Linked DNA regions of Tribolium castaneum. The protein of the gene in region 2 interacts with the protein of the main gene of each other region in a pairwise test. Links are inferred from orthologs where the notes say so. Each region holds a gene or a part of one and is shown on either strand. Other genes may lie near its edges.

Evidence for each region.
Region 1: the proteins of veli (region 2) and metro interact in a two-hybrid assay, tested with the Drosophila melanogaster proteins (2 studies listed by BioGRID). The link is inferred for Tribolium castaneum from reciprocal best matches to the Drosophila melanogaster genes veli and metro.

The regions. Positions count from the first base shown.
Region 1 is NC_087394.1:26,892,364-26,903,178, forward strand, and holds the start of metro (MAGUK p55 subfamily member 7), read right to left. Parts: upstream 5,891-10,815; 5' UTR 5,689-5,890; exon of another isoform or gene 5,655-5,688; intron 5,637-5,654; 5' UTR 5,368-5,636; coding exon 5,319-5,367; intron 5,089-5,318; coding exon 4,808-5,088; intron 1,821-4,807; coding exon 1,689-1,820; intron 1,563-1,688; coding exon 1,533-1,562; intron 1,426-1,532; coding exon 1,258-1,425; intron 1,208-1,257; coding exon 1,011-1,207; intron 1-1,010.
Region 2 is NC_087394.1:2,336,651-2,346,640, forward strand, and holds veli (protein lin-7 homolog C), read right to left. Parts: upstream 5,037-9,990; 5' UTR 4,916-5,036; coding exon 4,879-4,915; intron 4,829-4,878; coding exon 4,428-4,828; intron 4,381-4,427; coding exon 4,225-4,380; 3' UTR 3,894-4,224; downstream 1-3,893. Other genes in the region: angiopoietin-4, read left to right, coding at 1,235-1,326; ADP,ATP carrier protein 1, read right to left, coding at 5,722-5,964, 6,454-6,688, 6,741-7,002, 9,770-9,926.

The DNA.
Region 1 (10,815 bases), about 25 Mb from region 2:
TCCTTACTATCTTCTCGTAGAATATTTTATGACGCGTCGTTCGTATATCGTATATTGTCTGGTAATGTAAATTGTTATCCTATTCTTCCGCTATTTTCAATAAATATACCCGTTTGTAACGTTAAAGAGCCTAGAATGCTTGTGGTGCCTTACCACCGTACCAATTATGGGAAAAATTCTGTATCTTCTAGGCTGTCTAAAACATGCAACGTACTTTCTGGTAAATTAGATTTTATAGGTTTACCTAAAAATAGATTTCTAAAAGATTTAAAAACTGTTATTGAACATAGTGAACTTAGCTCTTTTAATAATTAACACTTTATTTTATATTAACTGTATTGTACCTATCTGTGTTTGTATTTATCTTTGTATTTTATATATCACTTGTACTTGGCGTGGCCGTTAATAAACATTATTATTATTAATATTTAATTAAAGCACATTTTTTCTTTATTTTGTACTAATTTATCATATCAATCACAAAGAAAGAAACCGCCTACTCAATTATAAATTCAAATGATCGTATAGGTTTTTAATCACTAAACTACCTACGTCACCACTTATATCCAAAATAAACTGAAAAATCACTAGGTACATCATCAAAAAATGTTTTCACTTTCGTCTTTAAAGAAAGTTTAAGCACGTATCCGAAAAATCAATAAATTAAGTCAAAAAATGTTGCTTTTTATAGCGTTTTAACACTTCAATTTTTATTCAAAAACGCGATCATTTTGAAGAATTTCATCAAAAATATGGCAAAAAATGACCAAAATTATCTCAAAACTGGTGTCGTTTTTGCCTTTTTTCGAAAACTAAACATTAAACAACGTTTAAAATTTTATAAAACAAAAAATCTCCAAATTACTCAACGATTCTATTGAATTAACTTTTAATGTCCAAATACCGTACTCACTAGTCAGTAAGAGAATGATAACGTTTCAGAAAAACAGTTTAAAAGCTTTTAAGATGCAAAAATAAAAAAATATAATTTCCATTAAAAAAGAACTCACCAATAAGCGTCATCTTGCGACACGATGTGCAAGACGTCGCCTTTTCGAAAGTCCAACCCTGCCTCCTTACAGGGAATATACGGATCGTTTGAGGCCTCGTAGTCAAAATGGGCCCTCACTCGCACTTTGCTCTCCCGAACGTTCATTTTGCTGTCAGCAGGGACTAGTTTAAACGTAATTGTTCCCTCTGAATTTTGCTAAAATCCCCGAATTAATTTACGCAAATTGCGATCAAACAGAGCCGTACTAAAATACTAAGAACGTCGTTTGGTGTCTTGCCTTCAACATTTATGTAGTTCACTTCCACGACCTCGTCCCCCACGTGAATCAAACCGGAGCGGTCTGCAGCCCCTCCGTGCATCACTCGCGCTATGATTATTTTACCCGTTTCTTCGTCGGTTTTTATCGTGGCCCCCTGAACACGAAAAAACGCATTCAAAACATCGATAATTTCATTTTTAACAGAGAAAACAGCTATTGAAGATTTAAAAAAGGAAAACTGGTTGTTTCGTAAATACTTACGACTATTGGTTCAGCACTTTGTGCCCCAGTCTTTGCAAGAAACAAAAATTATTGTGTGAATATTTAGTTGGAAGAATTTGAGACTTGAGGATGGGACTAATTTTCTTATGCTTAAGACATGACAAAACTAAGGCTAATTAAGTTGGGGATACTCACCAAGGGTTCGTTACTTTTTACGAGCTGCACGATTTTTATGGTTTCTTCGTCTTCGTCAGCCTCCTGAGGTATTTCAGGCAAGTGAGGGTAATAATCTTTTTGGGCTATGGCGTCGTGGGAGTATAGCAATCCCTGAAAATTTTTGTTTTCAAAAATGTGAGTTAAAGCACAGGCCAGGAACGTTTATGCACTTTTTATGGTCTCCAGAGCCCGTTAAGAGCCTTAAAAGTACAAACAACGTTAACTGAACCGATTTTATAATGTTTGATTTGCGGTTAACGCGTTAACGTTTATCGGATAATAACTTCAGAATTATTAGGCGTAACCCCATTAAGTTTTTTTATTGATATGAGCTTCTTCTTCACTTTGTTATTCAAGCTATGATGAATGACTAAAAATTCACAAGTGTGTTAACAAATATTAGGGTCCATAAGAAGATAATATGCCGAAAAACATCAGATTTACCATCTCTTTGCAAAAATTGTTTAAAATAGCGAGCCAGACGCAAACCGTAGTGAAGTACATCTTGAAAACTATCACAAATTAAAGCTGTTTAAAGTAGTAAATTCAGCAAGCAATTTGAACTTTTTTAAATGTTTTTTTAATGGATTTCAAATTTTAAACGAATAATGTCTGTATTAAATAACTACAAGACTAACAATTTTTACAATTATTAAAATTAATCAAAGAAAGTAAAAAGTTTTAGAATTCTTCGTATAATTAAAAAAAATTATTTGTTAGTTTGACAAAATCATAAAGGTAATTAAAGTAATAAAGTAATTATATTACTCTTGTTACAGACCACGTTTACTAGTTGTCGAAAATTGTTTAATTACTGGAAAAAATAAGAATAACTTTGTTTTGGGAAATAGTCGTCCAAAGTGCTTTATTTTGGTTGGATCAAGTGTTTTCGCATTTGTTTAACTAAAACAAGTAATTTTTTACGTTTTCTGTCTTAAAAATCGCTTAAGAATAATTTGCGTCGCACTAATTTAGTCTTAAACGACCATCTTTGCATTTGCCTCGGATAAATTTCATTTTTAAAAAACAACAATTTGCCATATTTTAGCTAAAATCGACGAATTTCTCGGTGAAATATGTTAATTTTTATTAGTTTTATCAATGATCATAAAATAATGATAAGGAAAAAGTAGCGAAAGAAGCAGATGTAAAATAAAACAAAAACATTATCTGATTAAAAAAATGAATTTGGATATAATGGAGGCGTAATGTTTTGTTCAAAAGTAAAACAGGGAAAGATGAAAATTGGAAGAAATCTTAGAAAAAACAATTTCAAATATTTGAAGATATAGAAAACCTTTAGGTAAAATATACTCTGCTGAAAGTAGAGAAATATGTTAATTTTTATTAGTTTTATTATTGGTTATAAAATAATGATAAGAAAAAAGTAGCGAAAGGAGCTGATGTAAAATAAAACAGAAACATTATCTGATTAAAAAAATTAATTTGGATATAATGGAGGCGTAATGTTTTGTTCAAAAGTAAGACAGAGAAAGATGAAAATTGGAAGAAATCTTAGAAAAAACAATTTCAAATATTTGAAGATATAGAAAACCTTTAGGTGAAATATACTCTGCTGAAAGTATTTTTTGATTTATATCAAAAATTAGTAATAACAGGTTTGTTGTTAAACACATACTTTATCTATGTTTTTCTCAAAAATATTGAAATTAATCAATAATGATATCTGGTGTCATTCTAAAACATACCATGTTTAAATGACCCTCATATTTTTTAGGTAGTGCACATTAAGATTTCAAAAACAAATGAACATAAGTACAAATCTTGAAGATATTTTCATTCATTTCATTATGACCGCGTACATATTTTCAAATGAAATAAGACTATATTTGAGAAAATATTTGAACAAGGAAGAACATTATGCAAGGAGATGAAATAAGATACAAAATAACTTGAACTTCACAACCCAAAAATTTTATTTGTGTCAAATTAATCAATATGAAAACAAAACCACTACAAACACGATCAAAATACAAGAAAATGTATAAGAGAATTAAATTTTCTACAATTATTTGACGCCAATTCATTGAGTCATCCTCGTATCAGGTCAAACTAATTCCATTTTCTTAAATAATTTTGTTGTAATTGAGAAAATAATAAAAATGGACTTAAAGTATCTCAAAATTGATTGAAACACATCCCTTCTGAAATATTTTGATGTGCTCTTCACGACGAAATAAGATTTTTTCTCCTATAGCTATAATAGTTTCGCCGTAATCGGCGTTTAAAAGTAAACATTCCAAAATGTTCTTTGCGTTTTTCTCAAAAACTATAAGATTTAGAAAAAAATTTCTAAAAAAAAAAGCATAAAGCATTTAAAATTATCACTCTTTGTTAAAACCCAGAGCCGTTCCGGGCAACGGATTATATAAAAAATCTACCTTTAAAAATAAAATTCCTAGAACAAAATGGTTTGTTCCAGCGGATTTTACGGTTCATTTTACGTAATAGGTATCTAAACAAGTTTTTTACATTTGAAGTTTTGAGTTTTTTGCCAAAGATTATGATGGCAATTTCAGCTATTTAGTTTTTCACTAAAAAATCATAACTCGTCAACTAAAAAAGCTAGAACAAAATAGTTTATTTCAGCGAATTTTACGGTTCATCTAACGTAATATCTACAGGCTGTCCTGTAGATTTTTAATTTAAATAAAAATGACAAATTTTTTTTTCAGATTACTCTCGAAAAACTGACACCCAGTATACTAGTTTTTTACAAAAGTTGAATTTTCGAAATTTTTTGCCAAAAATTATTATCATTTCGAGAACTATTTAGCTTTTCACTAAAAAAATTCTAAATTCCGAAAATAAAGGTCTTAGAGAAAACGGTTTGGTCAGGTCAGCAAAAAACATTTTTGGACGAAACCTGTTTGCTTGTGTGCGAAAGCATGTCCTTGGACAAAATCTGCAGTCTAAAGTATTGATTAAGTTTATTTCGAACTATTATTCAGCGCCCAACTGATAACAATCTTGTTCGTCCCGAATTCCAACTTTGTGTAGAAAACACAATTCTAAACAATTTGTACACAAACGCCCAACGTTATGCAACACACATGACAGAACATGTACAACTGTACCTGCACGTGAGGTTTCTGAAGCAAATAAAACAACTCCTTGCATTCTTCGGAAACTTGCAATTTAGCCGCTAAAACTTCCAAAACATCCACCATAACATGCATCGATGTCGACAACATCGGGAAAAATTTATCGCTAGCGCCATTACTGATTATCTTATTGTGAACGTTAACTAAGGCATGAAGTTCCTTGGATTGTAATAATTCACTCAAAAATCCCAAATCTTCTTCCGTTGAGGGCAATTCCTTGGCTTGCTGCAGAGACGACAACAAGCGCGACAAAGCTGAAGAACCAGATTAGAGTAACATAGGGTATTTCAAGTTGGACGTCGCGAAGCGACGTCCAACTTGATAATCTAGTGGCCGTTGATTAAAAGATTATGTAAAACGAAGCGCCTCAAGTGAGAAATAAATGAAAGAATAAAAAATAGGAATAATCGTTTATTTCTAAAAAATACATGCATCTACAAAACCATAAAAAACGCTCTAAAAAACTGAACTAATCCGCTCTCACCTGGATCCCATTTTTCCTTAGTTCCATTGGCCATTAGCTCCGCTGTCATTCTACAATTGAGAACTCATCTGTTAAAACCGCAATACAAAATAATTAGAAAACTGAACAGAACTTTTGCACATTGCGTGACGCACAAGACTGGAAAGTCAACGACTTGACATCGTCGGTGTTTATTAAATAGGCGTGTGTAATTGTTCCACGACTATTATATTTTGCAATCCAAGCAAAAGATCTATTTTTACAAAAACTGCAGTTCTGTGCTAGAAATGCAACGACTAGTGACATGCGTGCAACCACAACTCGGGGGTCGATAATCGACTAAAAGGATTAAAATACCTTCTGGTTTGGTAATTATTATTGGATTTATCACCAACATTCCATTCCAAATCGTCTATTTCCTAATCTGCTAAATCTCCGACTCCAAACATGGCGTCTGACAGACTGACAGCCGATGCTACCAACAAATAGCAGCGCAAACCCCAAATTCAGGCGCATGCGGTCCTAGAGAGCTGTTTTTCAAACAGTTATTTTTTTTTTATAACATTTTAAGCCTTCTTTTCAATATGTGAACCCTAAATTATAAACACTATGTTAAAACACGTTTCCCATAGCAACATGTTTTTAAATTAAAATGTTCCAAGAAAAAAAAACTGAATAACACTTATGCGAAAAAGCTTAAAGTTCTCGGGTGTCTAGGTATGCAACTCGCATATGCTTGTTGCATAACGACAACTCTTAAACTTTAAGCTTGTGCTTTCACACTCGTATTATTTGCATTTTCTCAAACGCTTAAATTATTGCAAAAAAGGAAATCTCAAAAGTAGAGTATTGCTTTTTCAAGAGTTTTTGGATTAAAAACTTGTTTTCTTTCAACAATTTACAGCCAAAAAGGCAATTATGTTAAGGGAACTACTGAAAAATAAACCAAATTTAGGTCGGCAATGCTGTTACCTACACTTTCTTTCATGACTTTACCATGTTTTTAGCTATTTTTTTTGTGGGACCAAAAATCTAAATTAAGACCATTGATTAAAACAATTTTATTACATTGTTTTAGTATGTTTTTTTACCCGAAATAAAATTATTTTGCAAAAAAAAATTTTTGCGAAAATTTTAGCACTCTTTTGAGTTATAAAACTTAGGCCTAAAACTTAGGTTTTGACCTGTTTTCTAAGTATATTTAAAAAGCTTTCAACTCATGGAACTGTTCAGAACAACAGTTAAAGTATTAAGTACTCCACCGTTTTTTAAGGTACTTATGTAGATAATAATCTCACAAGTTTAACGTCCTTCAAAAGTTGAAATTTGTAGAGTTGGAAAAATTACTAGGGAAGGACCACAAATGAAACCAAACGAGAATTATGCAACGTTTCGTCTTATTACATAAGACATCATCAGGCTGAAGAACAAAAATATAACATCGACAATTTAAGTTTTATATTTTTCAATTGTCGTTGTAATAATAACTTGGTCTTCAGCCTGATGATGTCATGTAATAAAACGAAACGTTTCATAACTCTCTTTTAATTTCATTTATGGTCCTTCCCCAGTATTTTTTTCAACTCAACAAATTACGTAGATAAATATTAAAAAAAAATGATAAAAAAATTTCAACCCTGTCTGATGTCTTACGTAAAAATGTATTTACATATTACTTAATAGGTTTATATGCGATTTTCTCCTGTATTGAAGTTTGTATTATGAGTATATGAGTCTGTTTTATTTGATGAAGAAGATAAAAACAATCGCTTCGGTACTACTTCAGTACCCTAAAGCTTTAAAACAGTTATATGAATTGGAAAATTTTATGTGACCACATAAAATGGCCAATTTTTAAGGTAAGATATTTATAAAAAAAACTAGTCCACTTATTTATGGACGCTTTATGAAGCTGTGCGGAATTTCAAGTAAAATATCCAGGTTCTTAAAATTACTTAAAACACATAATAATCCAAGTAAAAGAGCAAAAATGACTTTTCTTGTGTTGGTAACATTTTATTGACTTCTTTTTATTGTCTGAATCCTAGATTATAAACACTATTTTGAAACACGTTTCAGATAGCTAAGTGTTTTCAGTATTTTTAAAATACAATGTTCCACCAAAAAAAAATTGAAAAACACTTATGCGAAAACGCTTAAAGTTCTCGAGTGTCTAGGTAAGCAACTCGCGTACGCTCGTTGCATAACGACAACCCTCGGACTCGTATACACTCGTATTATTAAAAACTATTTTGTTTTTGGAGCGTTTTATAACTCGTTTTAAATAAATTTAATCAAATAGAAAAATAATTTATTTTTACTGCATTTTTGGTTTAATCGGGTTGGTGGTAAGAAGTTCACCAATCACTTTAAAGGTATATGTGTTGCTTAGACAGCGCAAGCTTGTATTTTCTCCTTGGTGCTTTCTATATTGGAAAAAAGCATCAGAAATTATAAATGCTTATCTCAAGGATTACAGATTTTAAGCAAAGTGTTAGGGAAACCTGTAAGTGCCACCTGTCGGGTTATCAGAATGTTACGGAATAAAACAGCCAAGTTTAAAAGAAATGGAGTAAAAGTCGAGTTCATGTTTGAATTTTTACAATTTATTCTTATTTACCATACAGACATAAAATAATAGTAATAATAATGTGCATAAATCATGTAAAGAATGTAGACTGAACGCAAGTCTTATAAAAATATAAATAAAGAGACTGCACATATAATATGACTGATGCATACAACTGGGCGATTGCATGTAAGTTCAGACTGTCTCTACGAGTAGCACAACTTGAATGATAATAATTATTGCATACTGACTAAAGAGGCTATTTATAACTTTAGGTATGCTATGTTATATTTGCACTAACATCGAACTATATTATGTTTTAATAGTATACATTAAAATAAAGCTTTTACCTGAATTTTGAGTGGTTATACATCATATCTAAAAACTGCCGCCAATCTCACATCACTTTTGCTTACATAATTATAATAAAGTTAGGTATGTATGTATATAAATGTAATTTACAGAGATATGAAAAAGAACATGCCATTCAGGGTGATACCATACCAAAAAACAGATGAAAATGCAATTTTGTTCAATAACAATTTTGTGTCTCGGATGACATAAGTGGTCATAGTTTGGAAGGCACTTACTACTTTACTCGTTTTTGAACACATTAAGCCTAGTCTTTGAACCGAAAAACCTACTAAAAACTCAAACCGGGAGATGTACAGGGTGCCGCACTCTGCACGTCCAAACATTTCTTTTTTCTCAAAATAATTTCAGCAAAACCCACAGCCCACTATGCTTTTTTTGACTTTTAAACTTATAAAAAAAATTAATCTCCCTTTTATTGACATTTAAAGACTTTTTCCACAAAGCACAAAAAATATTGTATGTTACACCTCGCGTTATAGATTTAATACAATTCAATATTTTTACATGGCCTACTACAAACAAAAAGCAAATTATGTTTTTTTTTTAATTTGTTTAAAAACAAATAGACAAAGAAATCAGAAAAGGTAAGCTTTTTAAAAATGTCAGGGCCACCTACGACTTTCTTTTAAAAAATAGTTAAAACAATGGCAAAAAAATCGTCAGTTACATTATTAGTTCTTGTCAAAAAGTGTCTGTAAAACGTTTTTGTTTCAAATGGATATCTTTTATAATAAGGAAGATGTGAATTTTTTAAGACTTAGCTAAAATAAAGCTTTTGTTTATAATAAGTCTACAAAAGTAGATAGCGGTTTTGCCTAAATTATTTTTTCCAAAAGAGCTCCAGAATGTGGTTATCGGAGGTTTTAAGTGGGGCCAGCAAAGTGCATCACCTTGTGCAGAGAGATCCAAACAAGTACTGAAAGTTTAAAGGCCACTTTTTGAAAAATATCATATCACCTCATGCAAAAGTCAAACGACGAGCGTGGTAGACCCATAAATGGCAGGAAGGCATTTATAATTTCATTTAAATCGTAATAATTTCTCTTCTACATTTACAAGTTTTATATAAATTTTGTACATTATTTCATATCCTATCATCTAAACAAATCACAAAAATAATTTTTGTTGGCTCCGTGACTCCTAACACTAGCTGAAAGTATAAATGTTTATTTATCATGTTAATCAATGTGTGCTATTTGGTGAACTGAGGCGCAAATAATTGTGTTGCAGCAGCACTGAAGTTTGTCTTTATGTTCGAGTTGCACTACACTTTGTACATACACAACACCTACATTCACTATTGTTGCTACATTGTAACATATAATACATTTGGCATTGCTACAAGTCGGTAAATCATAGCTTCTTACCAAGTGGAAATGCATACTCAACAAACAGATTACCACATATTCTAGATTTACAACAGATAGTTTTTTCATAAAATTTTGATTTAGTTCGCGCGCTACAATATGTAACACCTGTTTGCCGCGACTGGAAATACAGAAGCTAAAGGCAGAATAATCAACAAAGCAATATCTCATCTTTAAATACATTTACATTTCTCTTTACAATATGTACTAAATAAATTAAACCATTTACAAAAGGAGACCAACTGAATACGAAATACTGATAGTAACTGACCATTTCTATTAAGTTCCATGTAACACGCCTATTAAACCTAGCTAAAACAGGAATTGTAATATTGCACTGAAAAAACACAGTGGCTGTCGTCCTCGTCTTGTCACTATTATTACAACACGTCGTCGATTACAATTAAACCTATCAAGTGACTTTGGTGTATTCTTAGTTATCTCATTTGTTTCATCATTATATAATAAAATAAACTCATATTTTGCTCCAATTATGCAAATTTCAAAAAATAAATATCTAACGCATCTGCACACTTAAACACTAAAATATAAATTACTAAAATAAATTAACTTTTTACAAAATATATTAAACTATTTATTTTTTAAGTAAGTATTTAAAGCAAGTCCCCAAAAATGTTTATTTCTCTTTATGGGTCGAGTCTTGCCAGAATTGCGACCAAATTTTATTTTTTGCCAGCAAAAAACAATTGTAATTACGTCTTGTGAACCGACACTGACCGTTCTAAATTTTCTCATTACACAAAATAGAGTTCCGGAGTCGTAAGTTTATGAGCACGCAGGACTAAAATTTTAGGCTAGACAGCGCCCGTTTACAGTGAAAAAAACAAAATCAAAAAGCTCTAAAGACACAATCAAAAATTTAAGTATTTTTTTTAATGAGAGAGGAAAAAATTGTAAAGATTTCAAAACATAAGCGAAAAATGATTAAACTAACTCGGTATATTTGGATTTTTTTTTAGCAAAAACTACCTATTGCTTGCCAACCTGTTCTAGACAATTTAATTTAACTTAAAAATGCGCTATTTTCATCTGTTTATAAAAAAGATTCTAGATCTAAATTAGACTTGAAGTATGTTTGGTTTGGCTTTGATCTTACTGAATTTAAAACTTTAGGAAAAATCACAAAATTGTGTTATTTTGTTTACAATATTAAGAAATTTTTCCAAAATAAAAGTAGGACAATCAC
Region 2 (9,990 bases):
AAAAAGGCAATAGTGAAACTAAAATATCTCTAAAAAAACAATGGAAATTCTAGTAATTCCAAATTAAATCTAAGTTCAAAAAAAATGTTTCGTAATTCCAAATGATTCCTATTTTCAAATTAAGTTGTTTTGAAAAATTTGAATTCATTTGATAATAAGTGTTTAAATAACGAGATAAAATGCTCGAAGAAGGAAAAAAAAAACAAAATTGCCCAAAAATGAGTTTTTGGCTGAACAACTTTGTTCAAGTCCTTGAAAAAATAACAGTAACATTAATTTCAACCAATTTTGCAATTTTTTGGGAAATTGTTAACGCGTCCGTCGATTTTCGACTTATTTTCGTCAAAATTTCTGTGAGAAATTATTGAATTTTCCAGAAAAAAATGAGCTAAAATATATTTAAACAGTCCATATATTATAGAATTTATTAACACGATTTCATAAAATTTCTCAAAAAACTGCGTTTTTATTAAAAAATCAGTGTTTAAACACTCCATAAAGTGTAAAAGTAGCCCCGTTTTCAAAATAATTTGGTTAGTTTTTGAGTTTCTAATCGAAGAGTAAACTAAAACACTGAAAGAAATAGGGATTTTTTTACTTGGTTTAGTGAAATATCGGAAAAACTTAATTTTAAGCTGAAAAATGTACTTATACCCTTGAAAAAGGCATCACTGAAATTGTAGTAACTCCAAAAAAAAATCCATGGAAATTCCAGTAATTCCAAAATAATTTCAATAATTACAAATTAATTTTCGTAATTCCAAAATAATTCCTATAGCAATCTGGATAATTCTGAAAGAATTCCAATAATTTCAGAAAAAAATCCAGTAATTCACAAATGATTTATCCACAAGTGAAATTCCTGAAATTATCAAAAATGACACAAAAATTCCAACAATTCCGAAAATCTGTAGTAAAACCAGATGAGTTCCTTTAAATTCAACTTGAATTCCCGTAACTTTAACTTCGAAGAAAATCAATGTAATTTCCATTCCAAGTAATGCCAAGCAATGCCAAAAAGAATTCTAGTAATTCCAAAAGTATTTCCAGTAAGTACCTAATTCCAAAATACCTACTTCCGAAAAATTTCAAAAAAATTTCAAAATGTACAACTATTAATACCAGTAAACGACCCCTTTCTGGAAATACAGGGTGTTTCAAAAAATACTGGCAAACTTCGAAACTGCGAGAAAACCATTTTTATTTTATTGCTTTTGACTAAAAAAAATTGCAGGTATAGTCTGGTTCCGGTGGAGAGGCTGGGACTACACGCTGAAGAAGGCCATGATGATGATCAAACCGAAAGGACCAGTTACAACAACATAAAAAGTGGAAGAAAACTAGCCAATTTATAATCACCGGTCCATTTAATCATAAAATTCATCAATCATAAATCAATATTTATTTCGACACATCCGACACTTACCTATTTTAAATTACCTCATAGTATAGTATACTGAAAATGATTTTTCACAGAAATATTGCCTAGAACGGTTCTATCGACCAACGAATTTTCCCCAGTTGTATGTAAATATAAATGATAGAATTGTTCCTAATGTAGGTTAAGATTGTACATTTGCGCTCCCATCTTAGTTTTGTAAGGAGGTGTATTTGCATGTAGTTACACTAATACATACACAGAGACGCACACACATTTCCTGCACGATTTTTGCAAAAACTAACATTTACTAATAGCGAGGCAAAATGTGTTTAAAATTTCCGCTGATTATAAATTGGGAAAACACGAAAATGTTGAGGAAATTTAAGACTGTGTCGCTTATCGGAGGAAAGTTTCGTCGATAAGTTTGTATTAATGTAAGGTATTTTGTTGTGAGGCTAATGGGACATGAAATGCAATGTTCGTATTAGGCAGGTTAAAATCAAATCTTACCGTAGGTCTTGTACCTTAAGCGTTTTACATGGTTGTTGTAAATATTCTATTTCAGAGTTGTATAAATTAAATATATTTTAATATAATAAATTATGTTAAGTATTAACCAACCCGAGTTTCATTCCCCAGTTTAAATAATTATTCGATTCCTGGTACTCTCTGGAATACCGGGAATCTGTCCCTTTATACGCCGCCCGTGCACGTGTCATGAGATGTTTTAATTCGCCGATTTTTTCGGACTATTCTCGATTTCCAAGAAAATACATTTCAGTTGGTGTTTTCAAATCAAACGTAAAGGGTGTTTAGTCGAACTCAAGCAGTCGTAGAATAAAGTGTGTTCGATTAAAATATAAAATACGTGATGGATACTTGATACTGAACCACAGGAGAAAATACTTACGTGAGTTAGAAATTCTACTTAAAACTTTAACCAAAACTTGAAAAAATTAAATAGACGACGTGATATTACACTTATTTTACTTGATTTTTCAAAAATAAATAGGTTCTGCTCAAAGTAAAAATCGACTAAAATCTCGGTGAAACTGAAAGTGCATAAAATGTTCTTGGAACGAATTTCAAAAAATAATTTTGCTGATAAGTTAAAATTCTCCCCAGTAAATGGTTTTCGAGATAAAAGCGTTTAAAATTGCTGCTGGTGAGAATAAAAAATTAAACTGCCTGATAATTTATCCAAAAACTCGTAAAAATCAAATTTCGCTTGAACAAATCGTTTTGTTCTAGCCTAGGAGTTTTTTTTTGGAAAACTAAAAATGCCTCTGTAACCGAAGCCGTTGCCCGGGGCTGTCTTTTTTCTTCTTTTTATTTTGAAGCCCCCCTTTTGAGCCTTGGGACCATGCAAAAATTTCGTGGGGTGCAACTTTGGTTATCTCACGATTTTAAGTTTAAACCTTTGTTGAGATGCATTTTTTCTCATAAAACGCAACTGTGTCCATCGTTAATAGGCGAAATATTAAAATTATATTAATTTAAATTGTTTGGGCCTTATTTTTATTTTTTAAACTTGGTGACATTTATGCACGCTTGTTTATATGGTTGCATATGCAAGTTAAGGGTGAAAACTTTTTTACCACAAAAATCAACAAGTTGTTACTGGTTCTGCAAAATAGGGACCAAAGGATTAATAAAGAGCCTCATTTAGTCATTTATGACATGTTTCGAGGAAAAGGGTTACAAGCATTATTACACATTCAAGGGCTCAAATTTAATTGTCAAATTCACATTGGTGGTGAATTCGTTTAAAAAAGCTTGATTTCAAGGATTTTACAAAAGGAAAAACTGACCTTGTATTGGAGAAAAGGACGCAAAGCAGGAATAGGCAACAGGAAGCGGTGGAATCGGGTCGTTATTGAGTGTCTTTGCACTTTTGGGCACTAATTGTTCACATAATTGGTCTTAGAACTTTGAACTTTTAGTTTAACACAGTCACAAGTCTAGGAAAACACGAAATCAGACAAATTAAAAAAATAGACAAAAACGAAGCCACCCATGACTTTTGGCGGCTACTCAGTGTTTTTCCAGCGTTGCCAATCTAGTCGCACACAAAAATCCCTAAAGGAAAGCCGCGAATTGTGAATACAATTTTTTTTATTCGAATCACCACAACTAACCAGTGTTGTGTTTAATATTTTAAGTGTAAGTAACAGAAGTCTCAATACCACATTCACTTTCAACGAAAATCCCTGATCCGTAGTTGTGGGCTTTGTAAGGTTCGACTTAAAAGGCTCAAAACCTTTTATTTCAATTAATTGTTGATACTCAACGTTTATCTCACGTATTAGCTGTTTCAAAACTATAAAAACGCCACCGGCGCATTGTTTATGCACTTCAAAAAATTGATGTCTAATGTAATTTATAGTTTCAATGAGAAAGTTAATCCTTAATAATTTTTTTAAATTTTTTATCAACCTTATTTAAAAAATAATTCGGTAAAATACAACGTTGGGAGTTACTTAATAAATTTTATTAAAAAACAAAGAAACCATTTTGTTTTTTGTAATTATTTATTTAATACAACATAAATAACAAAAAAAATGGAAACATGTAATACTTGGATTACTTGTCAATACACGGGTACTTGAGATTCAGTACTTCTAGAGACCAGTGCACATCGTGCTAACTATACAATCATTCCTTAAATGCAACACAATCTAATAATAATAATATGTAATACCATATTTCGGTTAAATGTCTGGTCAAAGTAGCCTATGACTTTGAAATTTGGGTTTCTAACTTTGACTATCAAATTCAAACTACTAATAATTCAGTGTGGCCAACTTAATTTCTTTGTCATAGGCTACTCTGTCTAGTTATTTTTAATTGTACTGCTGCCGTCTTCTCGCCCTCTGTTTGTCGAACCTTAACTCCATCTCCTCCAAGACTTTGGGGGTGTACCTCACCACTAATTTGACAGAGCCATGGGCCTGTTTTAACAACTCCACTGCCTTTTCATGGTTTTCTCCTTCAACAGACTACCCCACAATTATTAATATTTACCCCTTTATCAAACCTCACTCACCACTCCATTGACACTCAATAACTGATCCCCTCGCTTCAGCCCCCCGTGCCGATCCGCCACACCCCCCGGAATAATCCTAGAAATATAAATGGGGGAATTCTGCTCCTTTCCCCCCATCACATTAAACCCTAAACCCTCCTCAGTCTTTGGCAGTTCCACGACTCTGGGGTGTGCATGTCCCTCACTGGCTGCGAAAGCTGCAACTGTGGCCTTAGCAGTGGCAGAGGCTCGCACGTCTTGAGACCCTTGAATATCAACAGTTTCGTAAACGTGCTCGTAGACCTCGCGCACTGCATTCAGAAAGTCGCTCTGGAGGACTTTCTGAAGGGCCGCGAGTTTAGTAGCCGGGACTTCGCCACTTTTCTGGAGCTTCTCCAAAAGCTCAACGGAACGCTTAATGTCTATGACAAACGTTGGAAAATTGCGTAAAATTAAGTAAAAATGTGATTACCTCGGTGGAGGGTCAATGGTTCGCCGATTTGGGCCATTTTTGCAAAATTGGGGCCAATCCTTTTGTTTGACAGGTAAATGACAGCTACGTTGGTACTAAACCAAAAACGTCAGATGTCCCTACATTTGTGCCTTCTGGCACTTGAAATTGATAAAACTTTTTATTGAAGGGATTCTTAAACTAAATCCAGAAAGAAGGATTTAGCAGGCAAATGAATAAGGCCGATTTAGCCAATTTATAAAAGCCACCCCTTTGAAATATTTTGGTTGGTATTAACTGTTACTCGCTTTGTTAGAGCAACAATAAAAGTCCCTAGATAATTTTAAATTTTGTAAAATGCTAACGGACGCTATTCATTTTAAATTTGCCTAAAAAAATGGGTCTGCGTGAGAAAAACTTGAGTGATTACGAGTGTCTTTATTGCCGAATTTACACAAATCAAGCTCATTTACAAGACAACTTTTTTACATTGTTTTGCGGTCAACGAAATGCATTCGACAACTGAATAAAACCACGTGACCTCAACTATATTAACAACTTTATTACGTCTCACACTACCAACAATAACGAAAAAAAACAATAATAAAGTAACTTATCACAACTGTTTATTGGTAAACGGCTGTTAAAATATACAGGATTTAAAATACAGGGCTATCAATACTTCAGCTTACAATGCCATTATTAAAACCGTGTAACGAAAAAAAATTGCTGGAATGTAAATTCCTGCGCCTGATAGTGTTAAAAAAAGGAATGTCGGCCTAAAAAATGCATCAACCACGGAATGAAACAAATAAATTATGAGACAATTAATAATTTAAACCGTAATAATTCTACTATTTCTGTTTAGAGCAAAGCTTTAAGCTCGTCGTATAGTACAAGAACCAAAGCTCCGCCAGTGCCACGGAGAACGTTAGAGAACGCTCCTTTGAAGAAGGCAGTTGGGCCTTCGGTTTTGCCGATCTTGATCCAGCAATCCAACGTATTCTTGTACATAATATCAGCTTTAGCGCGTCCAGACTGCATCATCATACGCCTTCTGACGGTGTCGAATGGATATGACGTAATTCCAGAAACTGTCGTTACGCACTGGCAAGAAAAACGTCATCAATACACACATCAAACAAATCACTAACAACTGATAGTCAATCAATGACATCAGTTAATGGGTAGTGGTAAACTAGAGTCATCAAAGTAGGCTCAGTTTTGTGTAACACATCATGTGTAATAACTTCAAGGACAAATTCATTCAATTCTTATAGGAACAGACGATCTAATCTTATCGCAATTGTTTATGGTGCAAAAAAACTGTTACAATATAGTTCTGAACTCTATTACACAAAGGTCAATTGTGATAAGAGTTATCTCGTCGCACGTCCACAATTGGAAGCAGATAAGAGAGGAATGTTACGACACTATTTCGTAACGAGGGATACCTTACTATTTCAGGATATAGGTCTTCGGATCAATTGCTTTCACTTTTTCAGCTTCAGCAACTGGAAATAACAACAAATCAAAGGTTAGGTGTGTGTCCTTTGCCCATCAATCAGTTCACCGGTTGGAGTCCAATATAATTACCTGTGCAATAAGGAATGAGATGAGGAACGGTGTGTTCTTGGGATCGGGCAACATTCCCTTGGCAGTATCGAAGAAGCCGAAGTAGGAGGCACGGTAGATGATGATACCTTGCACTGAGACAACGAAACCTCGGTACAAACCGATCGGTCCGTCCGATTTCACTGTCTTCTTAATGCAGTCCAGAAGGCCGGTGTACTGCCTTTCGCCCTTGCCTTTGCCGACATCGGCGCCCAAACTATCAAAAATGATTACATATAGCTGAGGAACTTAACAATTTAAAAACCTACCGAGTACGAGCGTAATCTAGAGGGTAGACGAAGCAAAGTGATGTCGCACCAGCGGCACCACCTGACGCCAAATTACCGGCGAAATACCTCCAAAATTGGGTGTTTTTGTCAACACCGCCCAAGAACATCTGTTTGTAGACATCCTTGAAGGCGAAGTTCAATGCCTGGGTTGGGAAATAACGGATCACGTTGGCGAGATTTCCACGCCAGAAACTGAAGAATCCCTGTTCTTTGGGGATACGGACCAGGCAATCGATGATCCCTACATGGAAAATTACGCGCTTAATGCATTATTCAAAGTGGGAAAAAACAAGGTCGGAGATTGCTGTGACTAACACTACTATTTGACCCAAACTAATCAACGACCTCTCAAACAATGAGTCCAAGAGATAAAATGCAATATGCGTTCAAAAAGGACTGTTTTACGTCAGATTGGTTAGTTAGCTAATCTAGAAATTGTAACTCAACAACAATTTACGTTATAGTCTCTAAAACTAAGCGAGATTGTAGAGTGGTTATAGACTGTTATTTTTTGGGGACGCCTTTTTTACAGTTCAGATTCTTTAGAAGTTAGAAAGGCGTCTATGAACTGGAAATATTTGCTAAATTTCCTTGAGAACAAGGAAATAGAGCCCGAAGAGATCGAATAGTTATATCTGGACGGTAACACAGTTAAGTCATCTTCTAGGGGATAAACTATTTCACAGCACAATACTGAAATCCCCAATTATAAAGTTACCACTGGAAATGAAGACTCGTGTGGTTATTGCGATTTTTGACTCATTTTTATGTAACAAGTGGGAGAAATGCCGTTCCCTGACAATAAAATGTTCCGAATTATTTCCAGAAGATTTATTTGATTTGTAAAGAAAGTGATAAAAATGAAATACCAATGAATTTTAACGAAATAAGTGTGAAAATCGTCGTTTTTGGCAAAAATAAACAGCCAAAAACACCCATAGTTCGATTATAAGTAAGAAATTGTCAAAAGTGGAGGTATTTCAACGAAAAACGTATTGTTTTTGTAGTATTAAAATATTGGGTATGTTATCATTCGACAGCGCTGATTCATAAATAAATTGGACTAGATAACAGAATACAATGTTGGAATCCTTCAAATTCAAGGTTATAAGCCGAAAAAATGAAGAGAACAAGAACAAAAACAACAAAGTTCTTTGCTACTAATGCATTGCAGACGAAAAAGAATTAAAATCAGCGGAAATGGACTAAAAATCTGCACTTTTAATGTCGAAACCAATATGGCTTTAAAAAGTGACAAGTCTAATTTATATAATAGTGTATTCAGATCTTTAAAATCTTTATAAACACAGGTAAAATGTGATCATTTAAATTTATAATTAGAATAGGCTTTGATACTTTTTTTAACTTACGTAAAAACACTGATTATCACAATTAGTATTGATTTTAGTATGAATTTTCCCCTCAATTTGGACAAGTTTTTCAATCATAAATAAACGCCTACTATAATTATAAATATAAATTCAAATGATCGCATGGTACAAGTTATATCCGATCGTTAATCTGATCTTTGAAAAAAAAAAAGTAGTTATCAAATTGTTTAAACAATAGAGCGTTTAAATAAAGCTAAGGAAATAAATACTTTTACTTGAAATAGTAAAAGATAAAGTAATATATATTTTATCAGACAGAAAAAGATAAAACTAATAAAAGCTTTTGCTATATTTTTATTCATACAACTAATTCATTTACTACAAATTATAAACTCAGCTGCCAACAAAATTTAAATTTCTACCGCCAATGAATTTTGCCTTAAGATGTCACTATTAATACAGTGTGATTCAAAGTGTTGGACATACCTAATTTCTAATATGTTTTCCTTGGCAACGGTATTGATTGTTGCTCTTTTGTTTCCTATGATGTCAAATTTGCAAGTTTTTTAAATGTTTTTCATTAGACATTAATTGTGTTTCTTTAATGATGCAAGAGCTGTTGTTTCCGCCATATCTCGCAAAAAAGCTTAAAAAAAATTTTGTCATATAATTCAGTTTGATGTGTGTTTGACAGCTTGTACGGTACTTTTGAATCAGCCTGTATATCTCGTGAAAAAAGGGTCCAAACAATTTCTTGCCGTAGGAACTTTTAATTTAGTTATCTCGTAGAGATTGTCCAATACTTTTGAATCTCCTGTATACTAAAGCACTTGACATTGCTAGTGGACTTTGAAATTAAGCTTTAAGCTTGAAACTATTCCTTCAAAAATGTAACACTAACACGAGAACTATCGTCAGATATTTTTTGGTATTGCTCATAGTTTAGCTAACAAAAAATTGTTTAGCCATTGTTTTAAGAAGATCAGGGGTACCAATTGGACAAAATACATATGTGAAAATTGTATCTTGATAGTTTTCCCTGTTTCAGTAGTTAGGAGAAAACAATTTGCCTACTTTCTCCAATCATTACCTACGGTTTTGTACTGTTTTTAACGCTTGTACAATACTTCAAGTGTCAATGAAAACGTAACCATGAAACAATAATCACGAAATACGTAACACGATTACTTAAACTATGATTCATTGTCGTCATTGTACATGCAATTGTGATAATTGTTTCAAATTTAATGCTCAAAAAAGTCCAATAATTTATAGTCACGTTATCACTAAATCCCATCTCTAAAACCCCTCTACACCTATCTTGCTCCCACCCACTGCGACGCCATAAAACTGTCCCTTTCTAACCACGATTTCCTTAGCAACGGCAACAAACCCCGAAATCGCCTTCATTAAGGCCTCCATCTTGTCGTTTTTCCAATTCGCATCGCATAAATTGCGATGACGTCACCACTACCACGTGTTCAGAGCCCGTCCCCGAGCGCCGCCACTGAACGCCCGGTTACGTAACCGCACCTTTTGGGTTAACCGCCGCCGAGGCGGTTCAAGGTGAGGTCGGGAACTGGGTTATCGATCCTTGGCGGCGGCACGCGTCTGACCCGCAATCCCCCAATTGGCAAAGGTGGCCCTTGCGACCATTAAAAATGGCCGATTACTCACCTTTATACTGTTTGTCGGCGGCAATTTGCTTGCTAGCGGCTTGGACCTGGAGGAGGAGCTTCACGCGCTCGATGGGGGCCACCGCTGTCTTGGACACAGCCGCCGAGATGCCCCCAGCGAGGAAATCCTTGGCGAAACTCATGGGATCAGTGGGCATTTTGAAGGTTTTTACACTCGTACACGTTAACACCGGATGGTTGTTCGGGAACGAAAGAGGCAGT